Drosophila melanogaster: one gene and its partner. The protein of the gene in region 1 interacts with the protein of each later gene in a pairwise test. Each region holds a gene or a part of one and is shown on either strand. Other genes may lie near its edges.

Region 1 (6,915 bases):
TTGGCTATCGGCTTGCTGACCTGCTTGATGGCCAAAATGCCGAGCTTGGCCGCCGGGAAGACGCCAATAACCATTGTTTTACTTTACTAATTTTTTACTAATAACTATTACAAAATATTCATGCAAAATTAGAGATGTGTTTTAGGTAGCGGTGTGCGCAGGGATGCACGATAGTGATGACAATTTGAAACTGGAAATATAACCGTAAATAATAGGCAACTTTCGATAGGACGAACTTGAAAATTACTCATTTATTTATTACATAATAAAATTATACAAAAATAAATCCTTATTTTTCAACGTTTTTTAGAGCTGCCTTAATCCAGTTGATTTCCCTTTGGTTCCGTTCCACATCTGCACTGATACAGTCCACGCACTCATCTAGAACTCTTTTTTGATCCTCAATTTCCTGGTTCTGTTTTTTGGTTTTTGTATATGTTCTATAAAAACAAATAATTGTATAGGAATACAAATTATTAAGACATTTGTAATAGTTCACACTTTGAAAGCTCATAGTATATGAGACCCGCGCCGATGCCAAACACAAAAGCCTCACTCAGCATATCAGCGCCCAATCTGGTGGCGACCGGAGTGGAGAGGGGTGGAATCCGCCTGGGCTGCTTTAATCGAAGCATACGAAGCTTGGAACGGACCTCAAAGGTGTTGTAGAGCTGGGCAGGCGGAATGATGATGTAGCGCCGTATAAAGGGATGATGCTTGCCCATCCAAATCAGAAGGTCTCCGAATGGCTTGCTAATCCGTTTCACGCCATGAATGAAAATTTTTCCAACTGGAAAACTACCAATCACCATTGTGCGTTACATAAAATTTAGCACGAATATACTGGCGACTGAGATTTCCAGGCCAATTCAGTTACATTCCAAATCCCCTGTATTGCAATATGCCGTATAGGTTTCCCTACTTCCCAGCTTGCTCCTCAGCTGATTGATTTCCTTGGTCTGGCGGGCGACCTTGTTGGTGAGGTTACCAATTCTTTCCTCCAGCTTCTCCCGATGCATCTTGTGTTTTTCGTGCTTCAACCTGTCATTCTTGGCTTGCCTAAAAGCATATTTGAAATAAGCCAAGATTTCTTCAAGATAATCGAGGCTTGCATACCTTTTGAACTCGCCTACAATCAGCGTGGCGCCAATAATGAAGATGACCATTTCGCCCAGGATATCACCGCCCATTTGGATAGTCATCGCGTCAGTGAGGGGCGGAATTAGACGAGGTTGTCCAAGTCCCAGCATCCACATCTTGGAGCGCACATCAATTACGTGGTATACTGAACATTATACTGGTTATGATGATAACTGGTGGGCATTCCACGGATTGTACTCACATCTCGCCGGAGGAGCAACAACCAGGGTTTTGAATGACTTATTCTTTTTGGCCGTTTGCTTGATCAGATTGCCAATGGGCTTGCTAATGTGCTTAATGGCAAGTAAAGCTAGTTTCGCCAGTGGAAAGACGCCCACAACCATTGTGCAATTTCTAAGTTTCGACAGAATTCCCTAAGTGCCCTACAACCGAAAATTTTCAAATTTCATATAATCAGTTTTTCAAATTATTTCTAAACTCAATTTCTGAGTCGCAATAACTTTAAGTCTGTGGATATCCAAACCCAGCAATTTAAAACATGTACTCTTTTTAAACTTCTTGTTCTTATTTAATAACTAACAGATTCTTGAAAGATGTTTAGACAGTTTAGTTTATGAATCGGTAATATTTGGCATATAAAACCCGGTCACACCTGTTACTAAAACGCTGGTTTTGTTTGTTATTAAATCTTTACCTCTGCATGCTTTAATATTCTTCCTAAAAAATAATGTCGGCACTTGGGGATTCTGATGATGAAACTGAGTTTAAAGAGATCAGCTCGACTAATTATCATCGTGTGCAGGAAAAGGTGGCAAAGGTAAGTTTAAAATGAATTTGGCGTGGCCAGCTTTCATGATGAAATCAGCTGGCTTTACATTGCCGAGTAAACACGACTTCTAAATACCCTTTCCCTATCAAGATAAGCTATGCAGATGGCGTTGCCGATGGCAGGGAAAAGGTCTTCCAAGAGAGCTTCGATGAAGGCTTTGAGAATGGCTTTAAAACTGGATTCGAACTGGCCAAACTGAGTGCCTTCTATGAAACCATAAGCAATGCGGCGGGAGCTGAAAGCTCCGAATGGAATGCAGAACGAGAAGCTTATCAAAAACTCCAACTGGCAGATGCAACAAATAAAGCACACTTCACATATTTGGAGCATCAAGGCGCTCCACTCAACGTTATATCCGAAAAACAAAAGACCTACGTGGACGACCTCCTAGGAAAACTGGCACAGCAACTCCCGGCAACTACGAATTTATTCACATCGGGGAGCGATTCTAGTGTTAATGTGGTTTAATGCATGTGTTTGGGAATTATCAAAATTAACTTGAAAGTATATCTTCGCGCGACTTATAAATAAAGACCCTCGGGCGTGCCCTCCTTCTTCCGGTACAAGACGCTCTCCTTTGACTTCTTGAAGTCCTCGTTGGTCACCTTCATGCGGCGTTCCCGCAGCGCCATCAAGCCAGCCTCTGTACAGATGGCCTTGATGTCGGCGCCGGATAGATCGTCCTTTGCCATGATCAGTTCGCTAAGGTTCACGTCCTCGGCCAGCGTCATGCGAGATGTGTGGATGGTAAAGATGCGGCGCTTGGTCTTCTCATCGGGCAGCGGGAACTCGATCTTGCGGTCAATACGACCGGGTCGAATGAGCGCCGGGTCAAGGGTCTCGATACGATTGGTGGCCATGATCACCTTGACATCGCCGCGCGAATCGAAACCATCCAACTGATTCAGTAACTCCAACATAGTACGCTGAATCTCCCGCTCGCCACCAGAATTTGAATCGTAGCGCTTTGTGCCCACTGCATCGATTTCGTCGATGAACACAATGGATGGAGCGTGCTCCTCAGCCACACGGAAGAGCTCACGAACTAGCTTGGGTCCGTCGCCCAGGTACTTCTGGATCAGCTCTGAGCCTACAACGCGCAGGAAAGTGGCCGAGGTCTGGTTGGCCACTGCCTTGGCTAGCAGGGTCTTGCCCGTACCAGGAGGCCCATATAGGATGACGCCCTTGGGTGGCTTGATTCCCATTTCCTCGTAGTACTCGGGATGGGTCAGTGGCAGCTCAACAGACTCCTTGATCTCCTGGATCTGAGTGTCTAAGCCACCGATATCTGCGTAAGTCTCTTGCGGAGCCTTTTCCAGTTTCATCACCGTGACCATTGGATCGGTGTCGTCGCTGAGAACTCCGACTACAGCGTGTACTTTGTGGTTGAGCAGCACGGAGCAGCCTGGTTCCAGCTGATCCTTGTCCACGAAGGACAGGATGCTAACATAGTGCTCGGAGCCCACCGATGTGGACACGATGGCGTGGTTGTCGTCGATGATCTCCTCCAGGTTGCCCACGGACATGGGGGTGCCGCGCAGATCGTCAACCTTAGAGCGCTCCTCCTCGTTCTTCTCGTCCTGGGGCTTCAGGCGCTCCTGGTTGCGGATGAACTCGTCCTCCATCATCAGGTAATCCTTGATGCGCTCCAGCTTGAGCAGCTTAAGGCGGCAGCGGGTGTGGGGCGTGACCTGGGGCAGCTTCATGGCCGCATCTGGACCCTTTGCGCGCCTCTTCTTCTTGCCAACGCGCGTTGGGATTGGAGGCTCGTACTTCTTCTTTTTATCCTTGTCATCTTTCTTTTCGCCAGCTCCCCCTTGAGCCGATTGGTTTTGTCCCTGCAAATGTATTGTTCCCGATCGTAAATGAGTTCAGGGTGTTCTGAAGGTGCTATTTTACCATTTTGTCTTGGTGCTTGCTGCTTTGCCGAACGTTTGATGAACTTTTTACTCTTTATTGTCGGCAACAAAATTACTAGTCATTCGCGTTAGCTGTGTTGCCGTACTATGGAAACATGAAGGTCTGGCAACTCTAAGGGTGAACAAATATTTTAAAAAAACGTGAAAATTAAAATAGGCAAGAAATGCTTAAGCAATCGGATTAAAACAATAGTAATGATTAACAACCAAAATATAAATGAATTCAAGACTTGAAAAAAGCAAATTTTAAAAGTCACTGTTTTATATACTTATCGATTACTGTAAACAAACTGAATGTTTCAGTCTGGCAACGTTTGCAATTAGTGCGAAAAGAGCATTTGTTTAAATTTGTTATATTGCGACCTTTTAATGGATCAAAATGTCAAGAATGTTGATCTTAAACTGGATAACATTGAGGTTCTGACCAGTGGGACAACAGCGGAGTTCGTGAATGGCATCCTGGACTTCTTGCTCTATCAACGCCGGCAAATCCCCTTCGTGTACAAAACATACAAATATTATGTGGATAAATGGTCAGATGCTGATGAATCGGGAGAATCCAAGGATCAGGAGTCCTTTGCTCATTACCAACGCAACCAGCAGCGCTCTAAGGCAAAGGCCACCAAGGAATCTATTAGTGACATGAGAGAGGTGAGGTTCCCCTTACATCCAGGACTTCTTTTGGTCTTTACTTGCCAGTTCTCTCCTACAGATCATCCGACAAGCCTTCAGGAGCTCTGAAGTGAAGAGCCTGCGATTTCTTTTTGGCAACAATATGTTCATGCCCTCGGAGGCCTATACTCTGCACATACCACATGATTCCATATCCAGAGATCACTATTGCGAGCACCATGCTCTGCCCGAAGGTCGCATCAACCAGGCGCTGCTCCGCCTGCTCACCTGCGAGGAGCTGTACAGGCTATTCTCCACCGAACTAAAAGTCACCAACGTGTTTCTAGAAATGGAGCTCCTTACAGACTCCGATCGACCCCAAGGATCCCATTGTGACTCCTTTAATCTAATCCCAAAGCATATATTAAGCCAACTTCCGCGCAGCTGCAAGAACATACACCTGCATCTACTGCATTGCAGTGAAAACACACCGAATGAATTACGCTGCTGCAAGGAGATGGATATTTACCACGATCTTGGCGTGCGGAATCTGGATAAATCTGGGGAAGACGTTAGCCAGACCAACGAAGAGCATGACGTTTTGAAAGCAGCAAATGAAACCAGCGGTTGGTGGCAGGCCGAGGTCATAGTTCGCGGTTTCAGAGCTCCTGGCAACCAAAAATCGGGAGATTTGTGGTCTAGCTAACATTTTATAACTTGGATTCTTGCTATTCGGCGTGTTTGTGTCAAAAATAAAGTTTCGAATCGTTTATATTTCAAGTATTAAGTTATTTTATTATGTATATAATTGTTTAATTTTATTTTTGGTTTCGATTTATTGAGAATGTTTTGAAAACCCAAGGCACTCAAAGATGATCCATCGTGGTATTGGTATTATCATCTTAGGTAGTGATAATCATGGAAACTGGTGCACTGCGCTCTCGCTGCTTGGCCACAATCTTGTTGGCTATGCGATCCAAGTTACGTTGTCCTTGCGGAGTCAGCTTACGACCACCATCCGGGTGCCTCTCCACCATGTTAGCAGCTTCCAAGGCTTGAAGAGCCTGCTCATGTGTTAGATACATGCTAAGTAATATTAAATATAACCTTAAAGTACAACCATTTCCCACTCACCTTGCGAATACAGCCATCCGATGAGCGACAGTGCTTGGACGGACGAACACCGTTGCGCTTGCGCCCGCTATAGACCTTGGTGAAGGCCCCAACGCCGGCGGGACTGCGCAGGTACAGGTGTCTCATAATAGAGGCGCAGCGAGTGTAGAACCAGTCGTCGTCGGTAGGAGCAGTCTCCTTGAACTTGCCAGTCTTCATATAGACGGCCTGTTCGGGCACAAAAATTTTTCCGGATTTTTTGAGAAAAGCAGCCATGTTTTTGGTCAGAACGTGCTGATCGATTTCCTTTACTGTGACTCCAGGCATGTTGCTCTCTACGTTCTTGAAAGCACGTTTTTAAGGCTCATGGGTCCGATATATGTATGTATGTATTTAAAAAAGTCTTACCTTTTGAGAAGAAAAAGGTTTGCTTCCGGTTAGTTTGCTGACTTTAGTCAAAATGGACGATTGGCAAGTGACGTTTGAAAGAGGGACCAGGTCATTGACCCCAAAGGATTACTTTCCGATAGTTTTGTCGTGCAGTATTGGTGAACTTGGCAATTCTTTTCGAAAACTTAACCTATAAACTTGGAAAGGAACGCAATGTAGCAAAACTACTGTTCTTGGTGACAGGGGGTTTAAGGTAGACTAACAAGGACAATTTTATGACACTGAAGCCCTATGGAGTAAGAATCAAAGAACTGCTGTATTTTGGTTTGTATAAATGAATAAAACGTTCTACGCTAATTGAAGAGCATTCGAAGAGGTTTGAATACAGCGCCATAGGGTGACCAGCTTGTGGAGCATTGAAGGTATTTCTTGTTTTAAGAATGATCACGGGATGGTCACACTAGAAATACAGCCAAACAAAACAACAAAAAGCATTTCGAGCGCTAACAAATATATATCTTTCGACTTGACTCATTCGCATTCCGGTTGACCGTGTCGCGCCTGCAGCATGTCTGAAAAGCCGACTGTTCTGATTTTGGGTGGTAAGTGGTCCCGCTGCATCCTCCTCATCGTCATCCTGCCCCCGCTCCCCACTCCACACTTCCGCTTATCAGCATCGCTGACTGCATCGCTGCTCTTCCTCTTCCCGCAGGCTGCGGCTTCATTGGACGCAACTTGGCCACTTATCTGCTGGACAATGAACTGGCGCAGGAAATACGACTGGCCGATAAGACCCCTCCGCAGATGGCATGGCTAAACGAGGAGCAGACGCGGGTCTTCGAGAGCGATCGGGTGGAGTTCTGCAGCGCGAACCTAATAAACGCCGGTAGGTAATCACTACATTAGGGTGGCTCGTTCCACCAGGATGCGGATCACAACTCCTATGGAGAT
Region 2 (6,609 bases), on another chromosome or scaffold:
AAAACGAAGAAATCAACAACAGGTTATTCAAAAAACTGCGAATAAGAAGTGCCCAAAGATATGCTGGGAATTTGTGAAGCATACTTTTGAACACCTCTTTAAATATGTATCTTATGTTTTTAACTAACATTTTATTGTTTGAACAACATAATCACTTAACTTACTAATTTATGCAACTTGGTGATTAAAATGCATAGCATACACTTGATTTATGGCATTTTTGTGAAACACATTTTCCTTTTTAATTGTTAGCATTCCATTAACTTAAGTCATCTATCTGCAAATGTGCCAGCCTTGTAGTGCTTGTAGTGCCAATTTCTATGCTGAATGCAATCAATTTTAAATATAAAGACCAAATGCAGAAACAACAGCATCTGGCTAATCAATGAGGTCACACAGGTTGCACATCGCACATCGCACATTGCACATTGCACATTGCACTTTCCACTCGTTGCGAAAATTTTACAAATTTAATTGCCTTTGTCGATGGAACGCAGCCGTATGGGAAATGCATTTGGGACGACGAGTGCCGCATTTCCGGGAACAAAAATAGAAATAGAAATAGAAATATAAATATAGATAGAGATAGAAACGAAAATGGGTTGTCAAGCTAAAACAATAGGATATTTGTGCAATTTATTTGCACTATTATTATTTCGCACAAAACAGTGCCACACGATGGCAGTGACATGTCTGTTTTGGATTGCATGTACATATGTATTGTATTGTATATATACTCCAAAAAGTCCAGTATTTAAATTGCCCACATGGGGTCATCCGAATCCGTTTGGTTAGACAAACCAATTCAATTTCCCTAATCCTTGTTCAGCTTTTTGGCAAATATGTACATATGTGCATATCGAATTGTTATTAGATTGCCAGTTAGTTTTGAATGTTAGTTTCTTTCTTAAATTGTAGCCAATAATAGCCAATAATTCGACGGGTTTACTACTAGTTTTAGTTAATATTCTTGATTTATTTTAATGTAGTTAATAAATGGTAAATGAACATAGAAAAACATAGAAGGCGCGTATAGAACGATGTTGAAGGACGTCGAAAGTACTGAAAGAACGTAGAAGAATGTAGAAATTATGTAGAGAAACGTAGAGCAACTTAAACGGATGTATAAAATGTGTAGGACTTTGGTGAATCTCAATGAATGTGAAATTTAGTCAAAGACCTAGACGCTTCACTTGAATATATATATAAATGCTAATTAGTATATAAATGTGTATATATAAATGTAACCATTTCGTAATATCTTGACCGTTTAGACGGAAGGACAAAAGGACAATACGACGGTTACGAACAAACATGGCTAGACAGTAAAATCTGATGGGCAGGCCATGAAAAAGTGCCGAAAAATTTTCAAATCATGTAGGCCATGAAATGAATTTTCATTTGTGTCATAACTTTAGACTGGACAAAACCTTAGTCCAATGTGAGCATTTGATATGTGAACATAACACACAAATAATATATACCCCGATTGTTAAACAATTTGTACATACAATTTCGTAAAAACAAAGCAACAGAACTACACATTTCCAATATACATTTTCAAAATATTTTGGTAAAACGAAAAGGTCAACTTTGTATTCACTTTGGCTTACGCGCGCTGCATGATATTTTACATTTTTCCAAAATTTTCCAAAAGCAACTTTCTTGCGAAAAAACTAATCGAACAAGGCAAACCATACGTGCTCCTGTACAACTTTCTTTGGGTAAGTGATTGTTGAATGACCAAGTAAGACATCGCTAATGTATTTTTAAGTAGCTTGTAGACACATAGAGAATTCGCTTGCGATGGCTACTTCGAGGGCCCACAATGTGACCGTCACGCATAATTCGTTGGTTCAGTGGTCCCGTGGCGATATTCTCGATTGGTTCAACGAGACGCTCCAATGCAACCTAATCAATATCGAACAGTTGTGCACCGGTGCAGCCTATTGTAATTTGATGCATATGCTTTATCCCAAACTGATCAATTTGAAGCGAGTTAAGTTTTTTTCGAATCAAGAATACGAGTACGTTAACAATTTCAAGGAACTTCAAAAAGCCTTCAATAAGGTAAATGTAAGCCTACCAGCTGAGGTCAATGATTTGATCAAGGGCCACAGGGTAGAAAATTTTAAATTTGCCGTGTGGTTCCGACACTTTTTCAATGTCAATCACACTAAGGATAAATGCGCTGGCTACGATGCACTGGTAGCTCGTGACCATCAGAACATCGGTATCGGATCCTCAAAATTGACAACCAAAGATCGTTTTCGCTTGGTGAAGGTGAAGACGACAGCTATACGAGGTAAAGTTGCGACTTGCCAGGCGACGATTAACAGTAGCCTTTGCACGGGCAAAGCTAACCAGGACGAGGATAGCCAGCACACGGATAAAAAGGACGAGGATAGCCGTGACCAGGGTAGCCAGTACGAGGATAGCCCCGGCATGGATAGCCAGTACAAGGATTGCCGTGACCAGGATAGCCAGTACGAGGATAGCCACGGCAAGGATAGCCAGTACAAGGATTGCCGTGACCAGGGTAGCCAGTACGAGGATAGCCACGGCATGGATAGCCAGTACGAGGATAGCCGTGACCAGGATAGCCAGTACGAGGATAGCCCCGGCATGGATAGCCAGTACAAGGATAGCCGTGACCAGGATAGCCAGTACGAGGATAGCCACGGCAAGGATAGCCAGTACAAGGATTGCCGTGACCAGGGTAGCCAGTACGAGGATAGCCACGGCATGGATAGCCAGTACAAGGATAGCCGTGACCAGGGTTGCCAGTACGAGGATAGCCACGGCAAGGATAGCGAAGACGAGGATAGCCAGTACGAGGATAGCCAGGACATTCACATGGTGCTCCAAAGAGACCACTGATATCGTGACGTCGTCGGTTTTTAATTCCTGGCCAAGCTCATTGTCAACTCAAAACTCTCAAAAGAACTAGTCAAAGCACACGGTAGCCTCGAAGGAGTAAGGATGTGAAGACGAAGGCTGCCTGCTTTTCAAAATTAACAGTTTTGAACTCTTTAAACCAAATTCACATTTTCTCCACTGCTTTTGTATTTCATGGTTTGGAAATTGAAAATTAAAATGTTGACCCAAAACATGCGTCTTATTTAATGGTTCCCTTAATGTCCGCTAGGTGGAGTCAATGCTTTTCACACAGGTTTTATATTAAATAATAATACTAAATAATAATAATAATATTAAAAATATTAACGCTACGAGTGTTAGAACTAGTATTTTATTTAACTAACGACGAACTAAATTAAATAATATACTAATTCTAAATAATGGTTCTGATGCCAGCTAAATAACTTAAAACCTACGTATGTATGTACATATATCACGCAAAGCTTTGGTCGGAAAAGCTCCTGCTCCATATGACATTGGCAGTATCAAAAGTCGGTAGATATAATATAAAAAACGGGTAATCGCATCGTTCCCCCCCAGTTGTTTGCCAAGCGTGAACGCAGGCGGAGATTAGTGAACGGAAGATGGCACTCAAGTTTGCAGCGAATCTGAACTTTTTGTTCACGGAAAGAGCGACGTCGATCGCGGAGCGAATTCGTCTGGCCCACCAGAACGGATTCCGTGCGGTAGAGATCCCCTATCCCGAAGGCGAGACGAGCGACGTGGTGTCCGCCGTAAAGGAGACGGGTGTGGTGGTCAGTCTGGTGAATCTGGCCTTCGACAAGAGCGACGATCAGCTGCGTTTCGGCTCCACCAGTGTGCCCGGCTCGGAAAAGCTGTTCCGTAGCCAATTGGATGCCACCATTGATTTCGCCCGACAGGTTAACTGTGGCAAGATTCATCTAACCGCTGGACTCTTCAAGGGCGGCCAGGAGAGTGACTACACGAAGACGTATACCGCCAATCTAAAGATCGCCGCCGATAGCCTTAGAGCCAGTAAAATGATCGGCGTGATAGAGCCAATTAACAAGTACGCCGTGCCTGGCTACTACATGAATTCATACTCCAAAGCCGCTGGAATTCTGGCCGATGTGGCTGCGGACAACATTCAATTGCTGGCCGATCTGTATCACCTGCAGCATTTGCACGGCAACGTTTCCAAGACGCTCGAGGAGTACAAGGCGCTGATTGGACACTTTCAGATCGCCCAGGTGCCGCATCGCCACGAGCCGGATGTTTCCGGTGAGCTGGACTACGGATTTGTGTTCAAGGCTCTCCAGGAATTCGGCTATGATGGATGGATCGGTTGCGAGTACAAGCCGAAGACGACCACTGTCGAGGGTTTGGGTTGGGTCTCCAAATTGGGCTACACGCTATAATTATCACATCACATATAGTTTGGCATAAGGAACTGCTCTGCATTTATACACATGTATTTACACTGCTTACAAACATAAAGATGGTTTAACCAAAATACTTAATTCTATTACATATTTCTCTCGTTTTCGAGGCATTTTCATGGCTTTTTAAAGCTTCAATTGGTTGGTTCAATTCAATCAATTGGTTGGTTTTGGTTTAAAATGGTCGTTTTATAAAATCGATTACAATATAAAATCCTTTTTTTTCCCTTTTTTTTTGGAATTGTCATGCGTCTGTCAAAAGGTCATGGAATTGACCTACAGCAAGTGTGGAATAAAACAGTAGCTACGATTAGATAAGATTAGATAACAGGCAGATTCACGTATCTCATAAGGCGTCACTCTCGCTCCGAATCACCCGCTTGGCATATTCGGCTATGTGGAGCACCCCGTGCTCCGGTGAGGCGATGTGCAGGTTGCCTCCATTGCAGAATTTCGTGTTTATGTACGGATTGTGCAGCTCGGCCACCAACGTGGAGCAGGCCGTCGAGGAGTCACCTGTGGACTGCAGCATTTTCTAAAACGAATGAAGTTTATAATATGTGAAATTAGAAAGAAGAAAATGTTAAGATCAAAGGAAGAACTACAACTACTTTAATGTCAAGTTACTTTCCATTGGTTTAATGATCACTAAATTGAATTATCTTTATAATTGCACTTAACACAATTATAAACACTTACTAAGCTGATAATGCATGCCCTCATTAAATTGATAATGTTCTTATTATTTAATATAAAGGGCATTAGTGGAAAACTAGAACACACAGTTGGCCAAACCACAGAATATAAATATATTGTTTCACCACTTAATATCAACATTTGTGGCTAGGAGGGCACTGTCAATCTATGTACTTACCATCCAGAATTCATTACCCGGCAGGGCGTTTCCATCCCAAGCGTAAGAGACTACCAGCAGCATTCCGGCGTGCTCAGGATCACTCAATTTTCGTGCTGGATTGCGCTTGGAAATGAGCACCCTGATGCCATCCTTTGGATGCCCGGGAATCTCTATCAGCGATCCGTTGCTTAGACCGCCGCAATGTGTGATCGAAAACCAGGAGAAGTGCACGAGGCCAACGTTATTGAGCCTGTTGCCCAGCGTGCGCATACGCTGCTCGAAGGTCTCCATGAAGATGCGCTCCTGCTGTTCTGCTGCCTTCCACACGCCCAAGCCGAAGCCCACCACATGGATGTACGCCAGCTTTTTCACGCGTTTTGCCCTTGCCTCTGCCTCCAGCAGCAGCATGTCGAAGCTGATGGCGTAACGCCGCTTCATCACCAGATTGTCGAACACGTCCATCTTGTTTTTCGATGGTCCGAAACGCTGATTGTCAATGACTGCCTGGCCGTGGATGAGATCCCGTGTGGCATAGAACTCGCGCCACAGTCGTCGATAGTCCTCATCACGCGTGGTAGCCGGCTCATCCAATGCCATTCCGTAGCCCCTTTCACGCGTATTCTGCTGACGTGCGATTACAATGTCCTGGAACTCCATTAGATTACGTCGCGACAGACGGGCTCCAATCATGCCCACAATAACCCCGTGACGTTCCAAAGTTTTCGTGTTCAGATCAACGTGACCGCAATTGGTTCGTTCGCCCTCATTGACAAACTCCGTGCGGGAGCTCACGGAAAGCAGAGCGGAGAGCTTGATATCGTCATAGCTGAGCACGTTGGCCAGCACCAGAGGCGCCTTCTCCTCCCGAGTACCCACGGCTTCGAAGCCACTGGCCCCGGACTCTCCGCTCACCAGCAGGTACTTGTCGTTCCGCGCAAAGAAGCTGGCGCAACGCTTTACCAGCAGACGTTGCACAAATCCGCATAGCGATAAATTCCGGTAGATGGGCTTTTCCACCGCGTTGCCTGTGGTGAAATGCGGCAAGTCGATCAGTTGAGAAGGCTATTTAGGCAAGAGAATTGCTTACCCCAACGACACTTGTGCTCCAAGTACTGCAAGTAGAGGCCCAATGTACGTTCGTGTATCAATGGATAGGCGGATGCCACTTCCTCATTTATCCGGGCAAGCCGCGATGGAGATTGCCGGTATACTTTGACACTGTTCACGCCGAACTACAAGAAGAAGAAAGTGGAAGGGTAAGTCGACGTTGGCTGGGGGGTCACCCAAGTGTAATACCTCCAGCGGAAACTCCGCGGACAATTTAATCACATTGCCCAAATTTTCGTATCCTCCGATTGGTTTCTGCACTTGGCGGCAATCCTTCAGCAATTTGCGTCCGAAATTAGTGAGATGCGGGGAATCACCGGTGACCGC

The links.
Region 2: the proteins of CG13599 (region 1) and Gip interact in a two-hybrid assay, tested with the Drosophila melanogaster proteins (one large-scale study listed by BioGRID).

What each region holds. Positions count from the first base shown.
Region 1 is NT_033777.3:23,927,495-23,934,409, forward strand, and holds CG13599 (uncharacterized protein), read left to right. Parts: upstream 1-4,144; 5' UTR 4,145-4,218; coding exon 4,219-4,500; intron 4,501-4,561; coding exon 4,562-5,167; 3' UTR 5,168-5,234; downstream 5,235-6,915. Other genes in the region: CG13601 (uncharacterized protein), read right to left, coding at 1-74; CG43998 (uncharacterized protein), read right to left, coding at 290-440, 502-812; CG43999 (uncharacterized protein), read right to left, coding at 870-1,059, 1,117-1,285, 1,343-1,484; CG31142 (uncharacterized protein), read left to right, coding at 1,829-1,918, 2,021-2,398; Rpt2 (regulatory particle triple-A ATPase 2), read right to left, coding at 2,452-3,768, 3,830-3,832; RpS19b (ribosomal protein S19b), read right to left, coding at 5,364-5,525, 5,596-5,901; CG5854 (uncharacterized protein), read left to right, coding at 6,533-6,566, 6,677-6,850.
Region 2 is NC_004354.4:10,326,657-10,333,265, reverse strand, and holds Gip (GIP-like), read left to right. Parts: upstream 1-3,393; 5' UTR 3,394-3,503; coding exon 3,504-4,298; 3' UTR 4,299-4,389; downstream 4,390-6,609. Other genes in the region: CG15306 (uncharacterized protein), read left to right, coding at 1,807-2,880; CG2909 (uncharacterized protein), read right to left, coding at 4,666-4,854, 5,194-6,200, 6,263-6,407, 6,472-6,609. UniProt on the Drosophila melanogaster protein: Catalyzes the reversible isomerization between hydroxypyruvate and 2-hydroxy-3-oxopropanoate (also termed tartronate semialdehyde).